Mytilus edulis: one gene and its partner. The protein of the gene in region 1 purifies or fractionates together with the protein of each later gene. This does not show direct contact. Links are inferred from orthologs where the notes say so. Each region holds a gene or a part of one and is shown in the gene's direction. Other genes may lie near its edges.

Region 1 (8,396 bases):
ATGAACATTTTATAGGTCTATTTTCAATAAAAAAATCTTTCTGTTTATTTTTCTGTTTTGTTATATGGGACATTTTTTTTACTGAATGTTTCTTGTAATGGTTGGTCTGTGTTCAAATGATTCAGTTTGATTTTGTAAACCAACTGTGTAGTCCTTTATCCAGGTCATGTTAAAGTTGTAGAAAAAATGGATTATGTTTTGTAAATATAACCGCAGGCAAGATGGTAGAGCAATGTTGTCGTCATCCTAAGACAATAACTTCCGTAAGTTAATGGATCTGAATGAAATTGTACCACAAGGTTCCATACCTAAAAAGGAAGATCTGTGATTGATTTTAGGGGTTAGCATGGTCATAACTGTTTAGGAATTGGGGCTAAAAACAATGCTATGACCTATAGTTGTTAATGTCTGTGTCATTTTTGTCTTTTGTGGATAGTTGTCTCATTGGCAATCATACCACATCTTCTTTTTTATACTATGTATAACTACCGGTAGTAATTAAAATTGAGAATGGAAATGGGAACATGTCAAAGAGACAACAACCCAACTAGAGCAGAAAACTGCCCAACCCCACGAAAGGGTCTTCAAACATGACGAGAAAATCTCTTTCTAGGTGGACTTCAGCTGGCCACTAAAACTGAAATGTGTACTAGAGAAAAAGGATGTCATGCTTAACATATAAATGAATTTAGATTAAAAATCATACAAGACTAACAAACGCCAGAGTCTCCTGGCTTGGGACATGCAAAATTGTGACTGGGTTAAACCTGTTTAGTGAGATCTCAACCCTTCGCCAATAGCTGTAGCCAATCTAGAAAAAACAAACACACACCAAAATGCACATCAGCTTAAAAAAATCAGTCTGATGTCAGAATATGTAATAAAAGAAACTGTAAAACAACTTCTTAGTCCTTCATCTAGGTCATATTGAAGTTGCAGAAAAAATAGACTATGGTATGACATTGTCGTCTTCATCCAAAGACATTTGGTATCCAGACAATAACTTGTATGTCAGTGAATGGATCTCAATGAAGTTGTATCACAATATTCCATACCTAAATATGAAGGTTTGTGTTTGATTTAAGGCAGGTAAACATGGCCCTAACTGTTATTAAAGAGACAACAACCGGACCAGAGCAGAAAACAGCCCAAGCCCACAAAAGGGTATTCAAACATGTGACTACATGTACTAGATAAAGTATTTATAGTATAAAGTGTTCTATTTCAGAATGAAATAGACCTAGATACTTTATATCTTGTATACAAGTGTCCTATATTATGAAGTTTTTGTTTGCTATATGTCTGTTGCCTTTGATCTCATTTTTGTCGAGCCTTCGACTTAAGTCGAAAAAGCGAGACTAAGCGATCCTACATTCCGTCGTTGTCAGCGTCAACAAATATTCACTCTGTGGTTAAAGTTTTTGAAATTTTAATAACTTTCTTAAACTATACTGGATTTCTACTAAACTTTGACAGAAGCTTGTTTATGATCATAAGATAGTATTCAGAAGTAAATTTTGTAAAAATAAAATTCCATTTTTTCCGTATTTTACTATAAATGGACTTAGTTTTTTCTGCGGGGAAACAAAACATTCACTCTGTGGTTAAAGTTTTTAGAATTTTAATAACTTTCTTAAACTATCCTGGGTTTGTACCAAACTTGGACAGAAGCTTGTTTATGATCATAAGATAGTATCCAGAAGTAAATTTTGTAAAAATAAAATTCCATTTTTTCCGTATTTTACTATAAATGGACTTAGTTTTTTTCTGCGGGGAAACAAAACATTCACTCTGTGGTTAAAGTTTTTAGAATTTTAATAACTTTCTTAAACTATCCTGGGTTTGTACCAAACTTGGACAGAAGCTTTTTTATGATCATAAGATAGTATCCAGAAGTAAATTTTGTAAAAATGAAATTCCATTTTTTCCGTATTTTACTATAAATGGACTTAGTTTTTTCTGCGGGGAAACAAAACATTCACTCTGTGGTTAAAGTTTTTAGAATTTTAATAACTTTCTGAAACTATCTTGGGTTTGTACCAAACTTAAATAGCAGCTTGTTTATGATCATAAGATAGTATCCAGAAGTAAATTTTGTAAATAAATAAATCCATTTTTCCATATTTTAGTTTTAAATGGACTTAGTTTTTCTGCGGGGAACCATTACATTCACTCTGTGGTTAAAGTTTTTAAAATTTTAATAACTTTCTTAAACTATCCTGGGTTTGTACCAAACATGAGCAGAAGCTTATTTATGATCATAAGATTGTATCCAGAAGTATTTAAAAGTTTGTAAAAAATTACTTAAATTTTTCTGTAATTTACTTTTAAATGGACTTAGATTTTCTTACAATCATAAAATAGTAAGAAGAGGAATATTTTTATTGATTTTTTTCCTCATTGTTGTTGAGCCTGCGATTTACAGCAAAAAATAGGCGAGACACTGGGTTCCGCGGAACCCTTACAAATTTTTATTATTAAGTGACTGAAATGAAAAAAACTTTAGTTTTCTTTATCACATGAATTTCTTACTTGATAACTTTGTTTGGTATGAGGATGCCTTTGCAAAGACTAAATGTCTGTCAGACAGTGTTAACCTGAACTTGGCCTCATTTTAAAGAACAGTATTCAAGGTTAGATATAAAAGTAAAGTCCATATCTCAGATACTTAAAGCAATAGGTTAAATAGGTCAACTTTATGTGGCATATGGACAGATATCCATAGATATAGGAAGATTTGGTATGAGTGCCTATGAGACAACTCTCCATCCAAATAACAATGTATAAAAGTAAACCATAATAGGTCAAGGTACAGCCTTCAACGCAGAGCTTTGGCTCACACAGAACAACAAGCTACAAAGGGCCCCAAAATAACTAGTGTAAAACCATTCAAACGGGTCTAATCTATATAAAAAAGAGAAACACAAATAACAAATGACAACTACTGTACACCAGATTCCTAACCTGATTGGTAAGACCTGGTAAGGTTCATACAAACTGGTTCCATTTTGCAGTATTTGTTGGTGAATGTTCAGTTTTAGTGGTTGTGTCTGGATCTCAGGTATAATAAGCAATTTGGTGTAATTAAAAATTGTGAAGTTTAAAATTAACATGTTTGCTGGCAAGGTTCTTCTGAATTTGACCTCATTAACCTGAATCATCCATAGAATTAAATGTTACTGATACTAGTAGTTAAATCTTCATCCATGATCAGTAAAGCAGGGACAGCCATTTACGTTTGTGCATTCTCATTTTATTATTTAAGTTCCCATATGCTCTATTGAACTTGGTCAATTTTACTTTCCTATATTGTTTTAATATCATTGACTAGAACTGGGGTATTGCTATAAAATAATGTGGATTGGGTATTCTTATGTCTTTAGTTGTTTTGAGTTTGGTTTCTTTGCATTTGGAAATTTTAACTTCAGCTCTGACCTTATCAAGATTCTGATAGCATGGTTAATTGTACATGTTTTGCATTATTGAAACGTCCCAGTGAATAGTAAGGGAGCTACCATTTGATTTAAGGGGAGGGCAGGATGATACTGAAAAATGCAGGACAGGAGGTTTGAGTAAGCAAGGACAGGATGAGCAACTGTGCAAAAAAAAACTCAGGATAGCAATTTATGTAAAAAAAAAGTCAGGATAGCAATTTATGTAAAAAAAAAGTCAGGATAGCAATTTAAGTAAAAAAAGTCAGGATCGATACTGGTAAACTAATAAAAAAACACAGGACCAAATAAAGTGAAAAATACAAAAGAAGGACGGAGATTACAACTTAAATAATGCAGGACAAAATATTTCATCCTATACTTATTTGAGGTAAACTTGAAAAAAAACCAATAAAACATGCTTGATTTCTGTAACCACTTGAAACTCATCTATCCCACACAATCCTTTGTGTGTCATGTTTGAAAATTTGGAAAAATGTTCATGCTGATTAACAAATGTTGCTACACCCACAAAAGCAGAGCCTGGGACATTTTGAGTAAATGATTCATAAATCTCCTTTGCATTTTGTAGAAGATGATTCTAATAGCTATCAAACGTGGTTGACACTAAACATTATTCTATATGTAAAAAGATAATTGGGGAAATTATATAAGATGTCCTGAAAAGTGACAATTAATTTTATATATATCGATATATAGTTCCAACTTTTAATAAGAATTGCAGCTGATAAGGCAAACTACCTGAGTTCAATGCAGTTTAACAAAGAACCCTATGATAAGACAAAGAAATACACATGTAGTGCATACAATATCTGGAGGGGGACAACTAATTCATAAACTCGATGATCATAACACCAACAAAAAATTAGCAATTACTATCCACATTGATCTGTGTCCACACATTTTTTTATAAAATAGAAATTAGTGTAAAAGAAATTGCACACAACATTTGGTAAATATCTGTTTAAAAAAAAATGATTAATGACATGGCAGACATCATAGATGTATTAAACCGTTGAAGAAATAACTAGAGGCTTCCAGGAGCCCCGGATGACTTGATTTACTTTAAAAATACCCAAATAAATTTTTGAAAAAGTAAGACTTTCATCAGAACCAATGTGGAAACTTATTGCAAGTCTAGTTTGATTGTTTTGCTCAGCATTTCATGAGAATAAGATCGTTGATGATTGTGGCCAAGTTTGGTTAAATTTGGACCAGTAGTTAAACTTTTAGAGGAGAAGATTTTTGTAAAAGTTAACATACGACGACGACGAGGGCGGACAAACAGTATGTGTAACAGTTATAGTAGTCATTCAGTCGTGGAATAATAAGGTATTAGTAGACATATCTTTTTTTTTTTACTCACATGTCAACAATTTTAATAATAAAGTTTTGAGGAATATAAAAATCCGGAAATACTTCGTCTTCAGTCCGATATATGCGTCCTAAATTTATTATATCTGATTAGAGTTATTTCCCTTGGGCACTGAAAAAGTTGGAAAAAGTACATCGATATGTCTCATCAAGTGTCCTTAGAAGAACTCGAACAGGTATCAAGAAAAGCATAAGTATAATTTGTGATATTTAGACTCGTGATTTTAAATAGGACGAAAATGTGAGCCTCTGACACGATTCAAAAGTGATGTTGGAGCAAAATATTTTAATCGTCTGCTTCATCTTTCCAAACTAACTTCCTCTTTTGAAGATTGACACTTTAAGCCGATACTGATCTAGTCTGTCTATAACACAACAGCTGCTTCATATGTCCAGAATTATAGCCAGCTAACAGACAATGAGTTATTGACAGACTGGGCGTGACAACTGAAGGCTGCAAATTATTCATAGAAATTTTCTCTCTTCACTGACATGATATACCTTCTGGTAAATTAGTCAATTTCAGACACCTTTTGCATCGCTGTTGTAATGTTTTATAGATAAATCTCATAGGAAAGCTTACAGATGTGATACCCTAATGTGTTATGTCTTGTATGAAAGTACCTGTAAATTCCTCCGTTATCCGAATAACCCATTGGCATTGAGAGCTGTGGGTGGAATTCATGTACACTCTCTATTGGGATTAATAGGGATGTTATATTTATGACATGTTATTGTTTTAAAAGGACAATCCCCATCCCAACAAAAACATGACAAAGGGAGTGCTAGGACATCGGGAAGTCTGTAATTGTTGTTATGGTAGAGGTAGCAGAATGTCTCGGAGAGGACCACCAGGCTACTTGGCGGAAACAGACAAAGCAGAGAGATATCAGAACTTGAGAAGATTGATCTCCAGGTCAGAGAAGGGAGCCCCAAAAATACCCATTCTAGTTTTTATTACGATCTGAGAAGTGTGGGAGGGTAAAAATCATCCTTGTGATGTACTGAAATTTCCAGCGCCCAGAGTCAGAATCGTCCCTGGGACTTTCAGCACTGTAGTCATCAGTCTTCAACACTAGACCACTAACCCACATATTCTTTCCCCTTTGTCTCTGTTTGTGTTAAGTTTGCACTTTTCAATATAGACTTTAAGAGTGCATAATTTATCTTTGTTTCAAATAAAGAAATACTTGGCATGAGTAAATTTTTATTCTGTCCAATGCTACAACATTTCATTGCATAAATAAGATAATAACCATCTTTGGAAGTTAAACAATCAAATTTTCACCCTTTCTGTCTTGTTTACAAGCTACATGTACATGTACTTACTTACATGTACCATGTTTGATTTTACCAAGTTTCCAAAATATTTATAGAAGCACCAAATGAAAAAAGAATGGTGCTTTGAAACACCCAAGATTCATGTATAATTATGTTTATGACTCATATTTTATTACTGCAATAAAATGTAGCATTAATTTCCTACAACTGTCAAATCAAGGGAATGTTTTTTGGTCTGCAACTGGATGTGATGTACCAAGATTAGGTGGTATTTCACCTACAACTCCATATAAAAATTCTTTCATTTAATAATCTTTATATGCATACAAAATGGTTGTTCAATATTATATTTTGAAAGGCACCTTTTGTGTATGTGCGTAGACCCCTCTTATTCGGAGCACCCCTCAAGAGCTGCAAGAGTACAGTGGAATCCATGTACACTCCCAATCAGGATTAAAGAAGATATGCCACTAATGTATTTACAACAATATTGACAAGGACAATCCCCGCCCTAACACAAAGAGAGGGATAGGACACCAGGCAGTCTTTTATTATGTTGGAGGAAGCCAAAATATTTGGAGAGAACCACTAGGCTGCTCGGTAGGAACAGACAAAACCAAAGAGATTTCACTTTCAGAAGATTGATTTCCATGTGAAAGTAGGGTCAACCTTGACCTATCGAGGCCCCAATAGGACCTCTAACTATATACATAATTGCAAGCACTAAATGACCAAGATTATGTTTTCCTACAACATGTACAAGCAGGTTGAACTAAAACATCTTGAACAAAAGAGATACTTATTTCTTCACAATTTAAAAACTGACAACCAAAAATCATAATATTGTGACATTTTTTTAGTCTGCTTCTTACTTAGAACCTCTCTGTCACTGTAGTAAACACTTAATGCTGGTTTGACTGTGAAATGAAAAAATATCATGCATTCACATATACATTTTGTACTGTAATTATAACCTCTCAATAATTTGGAATAAACTACTAAATGAAATAAAACTATATAAACATCTTAATACTTTTAAAAGAAGAACTTTCTAACTCTCCAATGTTTTTTTAATGTTTGTGTATAATGTATTATTATATGTTTCTTATTCTACAGACAAACATTTAGCATGAAAGTTGAATTATATGTTCAAGAAGTTATAATATTTGTGCTACTTATTCTGTGTGTTTAGTGTGATGGCCTCAAGGTAGACAAGTGAATGCTAATTTAGTCATCCTCTTTTCATTATAATTATCATTATTAATAATATAAGAGCATGTTCTTAAGAATTCTAAATGGAATGTTTAATATTTTTGAAGGAGCCATTTGATGCTCATGAATTTGTCGAGAGAATAGCATGGAGAACAATTCACAATAGAGACCAGGCACAGTTCAACCCAATGCTTCTACATACAGCTTTTGAAAAGATGATTAAAGATCTGGAGGGAAAAAATGCACAAATAGAAAAGAAAATTGAAAAATTAGAAGAAAATTGTAAAGACGAGGAAAAACGTCATTGGCAAAGAGTAGCTGAACTTCAAAAGAAAAACCAGGTTAGTATTTATAACTATAAAAAGATGTGGTATGACTGCCAATGAGGCAACTCTTCATCCATTAGATACAAGAAGATGTGGTATGACTGCCAATGAGACAACTCTTCATCCATTAGATACAAGAAGATGTGGTATGACTGCCAATGAGACAACTCTTCATCCATTAGATACAAGAAGATGTGGTATGACTGCCAATGAGGCAACTCTTCATCCATTAGATACAAGAAGATGTGGTATGACTGCCAATGAGACAACTCTTCATCCATTAGATACAAGAAGATGTGGTATGACTGCCAATGAGACAACTCTTCATCCATTAGATACAAGAAGATGTGGTATGACTGCCAATGAGACAACTCTTCATCCATTAGATACAAGAAGATGTGGTATGACTGCCAATGAGACAACTCTTCATCCATTAGATACAAGAAGATGTGGTATGACTGCCAATGAGGCAACTCTTCATCCATTAGATACAAGAAGATGTGGTATGACTGCCAATGAGGCAACTCTTCATCCATTAGATACAAGAAGATGTGGTATGACTGCCAATGAGACAACTCTTCATCCATTAGATACAAGAAGATGTGGTATGACTGCCAATGAGACAACTCTTCATCCATTAGATACAAGAAGATGTGGTATGACTGCCAATGAGACAACTCTTCATCCATTAGATACAAGAAGATGTGGTATGACTGCCAATGAGACAACTCTTCATCCATTAGATACAAGA
Region 2 (8,321 bases), on another chromosome or scaffold:
CTCTAAAGACAGCTACAAATGGTCATTCTTTCCGCAAACAATCATTCAATGGAACATGTTGCCACAAGTTGTGGTAGCAAGTCAAACCATTGAAATTTACAGAGATCAGTTGACACCAACTGTTCTCCACAACATAATTTAATTCTATAAATAACAATGTACATATTTTTTAATCACTTGTTGTTTTCTTTCATGTAAATATCACCAAGTATTCTACTAAGTTAAAGATAAATTTTTGTTCATATTTTTTAATCATATACTCCGCGCATGCAACAGTTCGTAATCTTCAATAATAATGAAGCTGTAACTGTATATCAGAAGAAGAAGAAGAAGATGCATGACCTCTATATAAATATGCATGGGTCTTGAAGTTGACCAATTTTGCTAACTTATCGACTTGTAGGAGTCAATTTTTGCAACTTTTTAATTAAGGTAAAATATTTCTTTCTAAACACTAATGGACTTATTGAAGTCATAAATTGTCTTAAATTAAAGGGAGACAAATCGTTGAATCTACAAATTAAGACCTCTACAAGTCAAAAGCAGATTCAGACTTATCTATGTCTGAGCTCTGACTGTTACAAAATATGCATAGCAATAGAAAGTAAAATAAAGGCAAGGCCAAATAAAAATATATGTGTGGTTCTAGTAACCCTACCGTCCCTACTTTTTCGGCTTAAAAATAGCCTACCCTAAAGATTTTATTGTCATTTTTCATTAAGTACTGTTAAAGTCAGAATGTTGCTCCCATAGACTCAATGTAAAAAAAAAAACATAAAATAAAAAAAAAATCCCTACCTACCTACCCTAACTTTTTTTCAGATGTAACTGGAACCACACATACTTTTTTATTTAGCCCAAGACAGTTTTTAACCAATCAACATGAGCAAAGAGCATTCTTTAGAACTTTCACAGCTTCTTGTGGCAAAATAAAATCAAAAGAAATACCAAAATATCTTATCTTGCTGATAGGAACAACTTACATCAAGAAGTTTATCTTTCCTTGGCCTTCTCCGTGTTTTATTGTTTGCTGTTGGAGATATTCTTTTAGAAGATTTTGAGAGTAAGGCTTCATGACGATAGTCCAATTTTAGTTTCTGATCTTCGTGGGAGAGGAAACCTTCATGAGACATGTCTTCCATGGGATCATATTCTGTAGTTTCATACTGAAGGTCATCATCAATAACTTCTTGTTTTATATGTGTTGTCATTGGAGTATTGTGAATTAAATCACTTTCTCCTGGGTGTCCTTCGTCCGTTTCATATTCTGGGCACTGTAAGAAAAAGGCGTATTTATGATTACTTGCGTTTTTTGGCAAAATCTTTCAAAATTTGTGTCCTCGATTTCATAAATGCTCTGTAACTTTGATCTCTATTTGAAATTTAAACTTTTTTTTTCATACTTGAGTCTTATTGATGAGTCTTATGTTCAGTTAACAATTCACATGACAAGCATACAAAATATTAATCCTGGTATCTATGAAATTATTGCTTACAGCAGGGCAATAACATTGCATTGGCTTTGATAAGAAAAGAAACTTTCTGAATATAAAAATATTAAAATATGGTATGTCAATTAAAAAAGATTAAACCAATGAACAATACAATATATATCCAGATATTCGAGACAGAGAATATACATGTAAGCATGGTGACAGGCATACATGCATTGTTTCCCATATCATATAAAAGAGAAGATGTGGTATGATTGCCAATGAGACAACTCTCTGTAAGGGACCAAATGAAATAGGAATTAACAACTATAGGTAACTGTACGACCTTCAACAATGAGCAAAGCTCATACCGCATAGACTTTGATATATCTCTTTCGATTTGAATCATATTACAATAATTATAGTAGAGGTAATTTGATAAAATATACAAGTATTTTTTTGAGAAAATTAAAGGAAGATTATTCAAACATTATAATTCACTTATACATGTTATATGAGTTTATTCTATTTACTTCTTCAAGTAAATAAAAATTACTTGTACAAGTACTTGAAATAGTACCCCTGACTGTCCTATAAAGTGTTGTACAAATAATTTAGTTTTTTCCTGCATATACAATGTATCTACATGTATGCTCAAGTGACATCAATATGATCTGTAGTCAGTACCTACCAATGATCCAGGTGAGTCTGGTCCTTCAATGCCAGCATTTCCATTACTTTCAAAATCATCTTGATCTAAAGTTTTAGAATCATTAGTATCACTGTCTTCCATCTAGATAAAAATATCAAACATATACATGATTATGCAAGAACTTATAACTCATTACATTGATTGTAATCATGGTAATATAACCACCATAATTTCAGATCAAACAAATTAAAATGAATTTTTGATATACATGTATTCACTGTCTTTAAATAGCATTACTTTTAAACCTTATTAAGAGAACCACAAAGTTTTGAAAAATCTTAAATTATTCTCAGAAAAAATATTTGCTAAACACAAGCAAGGTAACATATTTTCACTTTATGGTTTTCAAAATTTTCTTAGTAGACCCAAGGATTTGTATAGTAACTTACTATACAAATCCTTGGTAGACCTACATTAACAGATTAAGGCATTTTTTTTTACATACATCCCTACCTACTCTACATTGATTTTTTTTTTGTGAAGCACTGTTAACTTGATTAATGTTCAAATAAACATAAAAAGTCAATGTAAAGTGAATGGTTTTTTTTCTTGTTAAACAAATTGATAATTTCCCCATAGATCAATGTTTACATTTTGTTTTGAAGAAATAATTTTAATTAATTTAGCTTAATGTAGTATATATAACGTTACGGTACCCAAATTGCACCTATTTATCAAAAGTAGCAGCAAAAATCTAACAAGATTTCCTAGAGACTAAAAAAATGGTATTTTTATGATTTGATACTATGCACGTCTTTCAACATAGGTAAAAATATTTAGATATACACAAAACGTTCACAATATTTATCAACAGATGAAGTGTTTACTGAAAAAGCAAAATGTACTGAAACGTCGCCATGCGACGTCATCAAAACGTCATCTTTTTAAAATTAACAAATACAATACGTTTCAAGTATCCATTTCTTAAAAAATGAAGAGTAAGCATGAACAAATATCCAATTGTTCAAAATATTTGAAAAAAATAAACAAAAGCTCTGTTATTCGACTTTTTACGATGCGAATTTAAGCATGGATGCAATTTGGGTACTCCTCATTACAGAATCTGGGATGGTTTGGAGGTAAGTTCAGACCAATTTTTCTATGATTCCTTATGGATTGAAAATCAAATTGGTGTACCTTTATAATAAAGAAGGATACGGCTACAAAATAAACACAAAATGGAAATTTTTGTTTTGATCATAAAAAAACTTAGTTGAAAAAACTGTCAAAATAGGTGCAATTTGGGTACCGTCACGTTATTTATATATATGTGTGTGTGTTAACTGTGCTTATATATTTTTCAGCCAGATTGGCAGCCAGCACAAATTTATTGTTGAAAAAAAAAATCACCTGGTAAATACATGTGTATAAAAAAAACCAAAAAAAACGTTATTTTGTCAATATTGTCTATTGTGCTCTTTCCAATAAAATATTGAATTGAATATTGCCAGGCGGCAGGAATTAAGCGTATATTTTTTGGCCTGAATATCATTGAAAAAAAAAAATTATGATGAAAAGGAATTAAATTGGTACTCCAGTTTATTTTTCAACTATAGTTGATATTACAAATGTAACTTGACCACTGGCTATAACACATACATGTAGTGCAATATTTTTTATATTGTACAAACTTTTGATAATGATTAAACAATGAAGTTTATAACAGTTATATTATTAAATAAAATAAACAACATAATCATAATGATTTGTAGTTTATGAAATATCAAGTCAATACATTGTCATATAACACAAATAGAATGACATTGTCATGAAATGATTACTATGTATATTTTTATTTACTATGTATTTTTTTATTTACATTGTACATGGGTAACACATATCTGGAGACCGATAAAAAGTCATTAAAATTACAGAGTTTTTGAAAATTGCAAATAAAATGACGTTTCACGCAAAACTGGCAGCGGATCGCCTCACGTTTCACTCCCACATAAAGGTGGAACCGCCATGATGTTCAATATTTTCTTCCTCGTTCAACAAACCTGTGAACGTCTACCCGAGAGGATTTCTTACCACAAAATGTAAACAAAATAAGTTCGTTCCCTCTTAAAATGATACTTCTCTATCCAAACTAGCTAATAACAACTTCAACAATTACCTTTGGAATGTAATGGCACGCTTTTCCTATGACGTCAACGTACGTTACTTGGTGCACACGTAATTCACGTGGACTCTCGTAGTGTGCGAGATTTTACGCGACACTGACGGAAAACGGAAGTGGGAAGTTCATGATGTAAACAAATGCCCACTTGAAAGTTTTCACGTTTATATTAATCTATTGAAAGAAAAGGCATAGATAGTGGTAAATTGAATATTTCTATTGTTTATTGACCGTAGTAATTATCGTATACAAAATACTTTAGTCACTTTAAAGCCAAAGGGAAAGCGTTGCCGTAGAGTCATTGGTTAACGCCAAAATTTATTTCTACAACGGGCACAAACACCAGGTAGCAGTCGTGTTGTCATGTTTTTTGGGGGCAAAACCCAGTTTTTTTTTAATGAACAAGCTCTACTGCATCATGTTTTTTTATTGTTTAATATTTGTGAGGACCTTTTGACAAAAATGTACTTTTTTCATTGTTTTTACACCACAAGTTTAACATGTTTACAGTTTGTTCGAAAGTAAAGTCTAAATAATTTATGACACAAAGCATTGTCAATGACAAACCTAGTCCAAATAATTATGATGTCTAAGTTGTCTGGCAATGATCTTTTTTTTTGGGGGGGGGGGGGGTTGCTTTCTGGGACGCCAAAAAATAAAATAGCCTTGCCAGATGTCATAATTATTTTGACTAAGACAAACCATGAATTTGGCGGGTGGGCCGGTCTTTTCACCACCAAACACCACAGAACACCGCCGAACACCCCAAAAACCACCAACCACTAAGAAAAACTGATATTATCATGATTATACAATAAAACGATAAATAATTTAAATTACAATGTACGTACATGTATATTTTAATCAATTTTTAGATTTTTATGGGCATCATAATTTATGTTAAAAATCGATAATCAATATAAGGAAAAAACGTCTCAGGATTCATCCCTTTTTGGATAACACAGTCTGGGGACTTACTGAAATAAGTGATTTTTAAATCACTTATTTGAGTAGCAAATTCAATGTTTTGTCACAAATTGGGATTTTGTAGTTTTTTCAAAATTTTAAACAAATAGGTTTAAATAATATCTTTCAATTAGTAAAATTAAAGAATATGAATTTTTTGGTACTTAAAAAGTAGCAAGGTTTATGCCTTTGATGCTATCATTTAACTGAAAATTCTATTTTAGTTGAAAAAATGCTATAATAATGGCTTTCCATAATGAACTGATACTTTCTTAAAAGATTTTTCACAGCAGTGGGAGTATTTTTCCTGTGAAGTTCAAGGTTTCATCTTTCAGATTATGTAATAAAATTCTACTGTTCGACGATAAAAATTTCACTGTTCGGGGGGTGTTGAAATTAGTGGGGGGTTGTTAACAGAATGATACATTATAAAGAAGTGATTTTTGGGGAAATTGAGGTCTGATACTTAAACAAGTGATTTTTATGTCATTATCCTAGATTCAGTACAAGGTCATCACCTGAAATGACCTGGTCATCCTAGACAACACAGATGTTGGTTCTGATAAGTTTAGAAACATAATTAGTCCCTGGATCATTAGTATTCAGAATAATATAAACGTGTAAACACAATTTAAACAATGTTAAAGTAATAGAATACAATTCCATATGTCTAAAACAAGATGCATTTGATAATTATTTCTCTAATATTCTATAGAAATTTATCCGTTTCCGAACCCATTGTATAAAACAATTTAATCAACATGTGGTTTCTGGTGATCTCAAAAGATCATTGGATGATTCTAAGGGTCATATCCTCTTTAGCTAACTGGATAAATCAAAATATGCTAACTGGTGTTAATGAAATTGACAACTTCATGGAATGTGAAAGGCACTCAAAGGGGATTTTCGTTTAACAAAAAAAGAAAATTTATTTTTTAATCATTAGCTATATAGAGAAACAGATTCTTACATAGTTACTCATGGATTATCGGATTTATCCAATCTTGATAGTTAAATTATGAATTATAAAATTGATAATTTAACTATCTCGATTGGATAAATCCGATAATCCACTCGTATCAATGTAAGAATCTATATATATATATATCCATTCAGAAAACTGGATTTATCTTTATCGTTTGCTACTTCTACTGTTGCACCTGAAATAAGATAAAACATATTTCAGGTCTTCATAAATACATGTACATGTAGCTTAAAACTAAAATTAAGTGTTATATGTATGATGAATACATTTATTTGAATTAATGATAATCCATGCGATATATATAAATAGATAATCTATTTTATTTAGGATCATTAATGCTAAGAACTTAAAATGTTTATATATATTGTTTCTGTTTTTGTCACTTGTTTGTAATGCCTCTTTAATTTGATTCTCATCTAAAAAAAAATTTGTATATTACATTATAACATTATCTTGGATCATCTCAATGAGATTGATTTTCTCCCTTGAGCCGGTACAGCGAAAGTGAGAAAAGCAATTGAGTTTAGATGACCAATGATATTCTGTTTATATTATAGCAACGCCATGTGCCCCCTTAGTTTCTAGCGATAATTTATCACTTCACTGAGAAAGGAAATTATAAGTCAGCAAGATCAAAGACCTGGAGATACTTGTCATATGATTTGTTTTATTAAAATTTGTTGTTGTCAGGTTAAAAACAAGAATAAGTATTTCATAGTAATTAAACCACAGGGTCAACTTCAAATAACCATGAGTCCATGATGGCTGTAAAAATATCATGCAGCTTCAAGCCTTGTATGTATTTAATTCAATGATTCTGATAGTACAACCTATTTATAAAATCTTTTCCCTCACTTGAAGTAATTCTCATGTTATCAGTAGTTACAACAAATGCATAAATTAGATATAATACAAACATATGTTGTTATGTAATTTTAATTCAGTACAAATCATTGAAATGTAACTACACGTCAGAACCTCTATAGATTGAATGATTGTAGTTGCTATTTTTAGAACCTATATAACTATTTAACATGTACATGTATATGTATGAATAGATATGTATTTACTTAAACATATACAACAAATGTACAATGTATACATATACATAAATCAACTTTGGTAGAGAATTGTTACATTTGCAATCAATACCACATCTTTTTATTTTTAAAAATCTTTCAAATTTATTTTCAATTTGGTCTATATACATATTATAAGAAGATATGGAAGGAGTTCCAATGAAACAACTCTCCATCCAAGTCACAATTAGTAAAAGAAAAATCATCACAAGTCAAAGTAGGCTCTTCAACACGGAGCATTGGCTCTTTCCAAACAGCAAGCTATGAAGGGTCCCAAAATTGTCTAGTGTAAAACTATTCAAACAGGAAAAAACAAAGACCTAATCTATCATGTCTATATAAAAAACGAAAAACACTTATTGATAATTTAATATATATAAATTCTATTTTCAGGTCTCTTCAAAATGAGTTTACCAGCGCCATTAGATCTGGGACGAATGGAAGCAGAGGCTAAAGAAAATGCCTCTAAACATATATCTAATCTGCTTCAGGTTTGTGCTTAACATTGGGCTGAAACAACACTTATATTTTTACATGCAACAACACTTATATTTTTACATGCATCTGTTATGTATTCTTACATATATCTACCTTTCTTACACATTGTACAAAGGACAACTTTTCAAATTTGATGCATTTCCGTCAAAAACTTTGGTTTTAGTGAACATCATTCATGCGTTTAGGGGCATCATCACTTCCGTTCCCATGTTGAGCGAGTGGTTGGAAACATATGATGCTATATTGGTTTATTGAATTATTCGGCAAAATGATTTCTCATAATTGACAATCAGCTCTGCTGTCATTAGGGAATTGTGATTAACTACCTACATGTACAACGTATATAACAAATATTATTTCAAGTTTATCCTGAACAATGGCAATCACTAAGACACTTGATGAACGTTTATAGTGCAGGAATACAGGTGATCCCCTTTATCTGGTAAACAACATCGTAAGGGCATGCATAATTGACGAGTTTTTCCAGTGAAGGACAAACTCAAAACTGGTCTATTCTAGCTAATGAATT

Evidence for each region. Proteins that work in one complex are often made in the same cells at the same time.
Region 2: the proteins of exocyst complex component 5-like (region 1) and exocyst complex component 3-like purify together in Homo sapiens (affinity purification with mass spectrometry; 7 studies listed by BioGRID and IntAct, counting the BioPlex papers as one, with this or other methods). This does not show direct contact. The link is inferred for Mytilus edulis from reciprocal best matches to the Homo sapiens genes EXOC5 and EXOC3.

Annotation. Positions count from the first base shown.
Region 1 is NC_092346.1:8,164,787-8,173,182, reverse strand, and holds the start of exocyst complex component 5-like, read left to right. Parts: upstream 1-4,874; 5' UTR 4,875-4,966; coding exon 4,967-5,002; intron 5,003-7,426; coding exon 7,427-7,660; intron 7,661-8,396. UniProt on the Homo sapiens protein: Component of the exocyst complex involved in the docking of exocytic vesicles with fusion sites on the plasma membrane.
Region 2 is NC_092355.1:42,989,207-42,997,527, reverse strand, and holds the start of exocyst complex component 3-like, read left to right. Parts: upstream 1-4,348; 5' UTR 4,349-4,465; exon of another isoform or gene 4,466-4,481; intron 4,482-7,687; 5' UTR 7,688-7,698; coding exon 7,699-7,785; intron 7,786-8,321. Other genes in the region: glucocorticoid modulatory element-binding protein 1-like, read right to left, coding at 984-1,274, 2,125-2,226. UniProt on the Homo sapiens protein: Component of the exocyst complex involved in the docking of exocytic vesicles with fusion sites on the plasma membrane.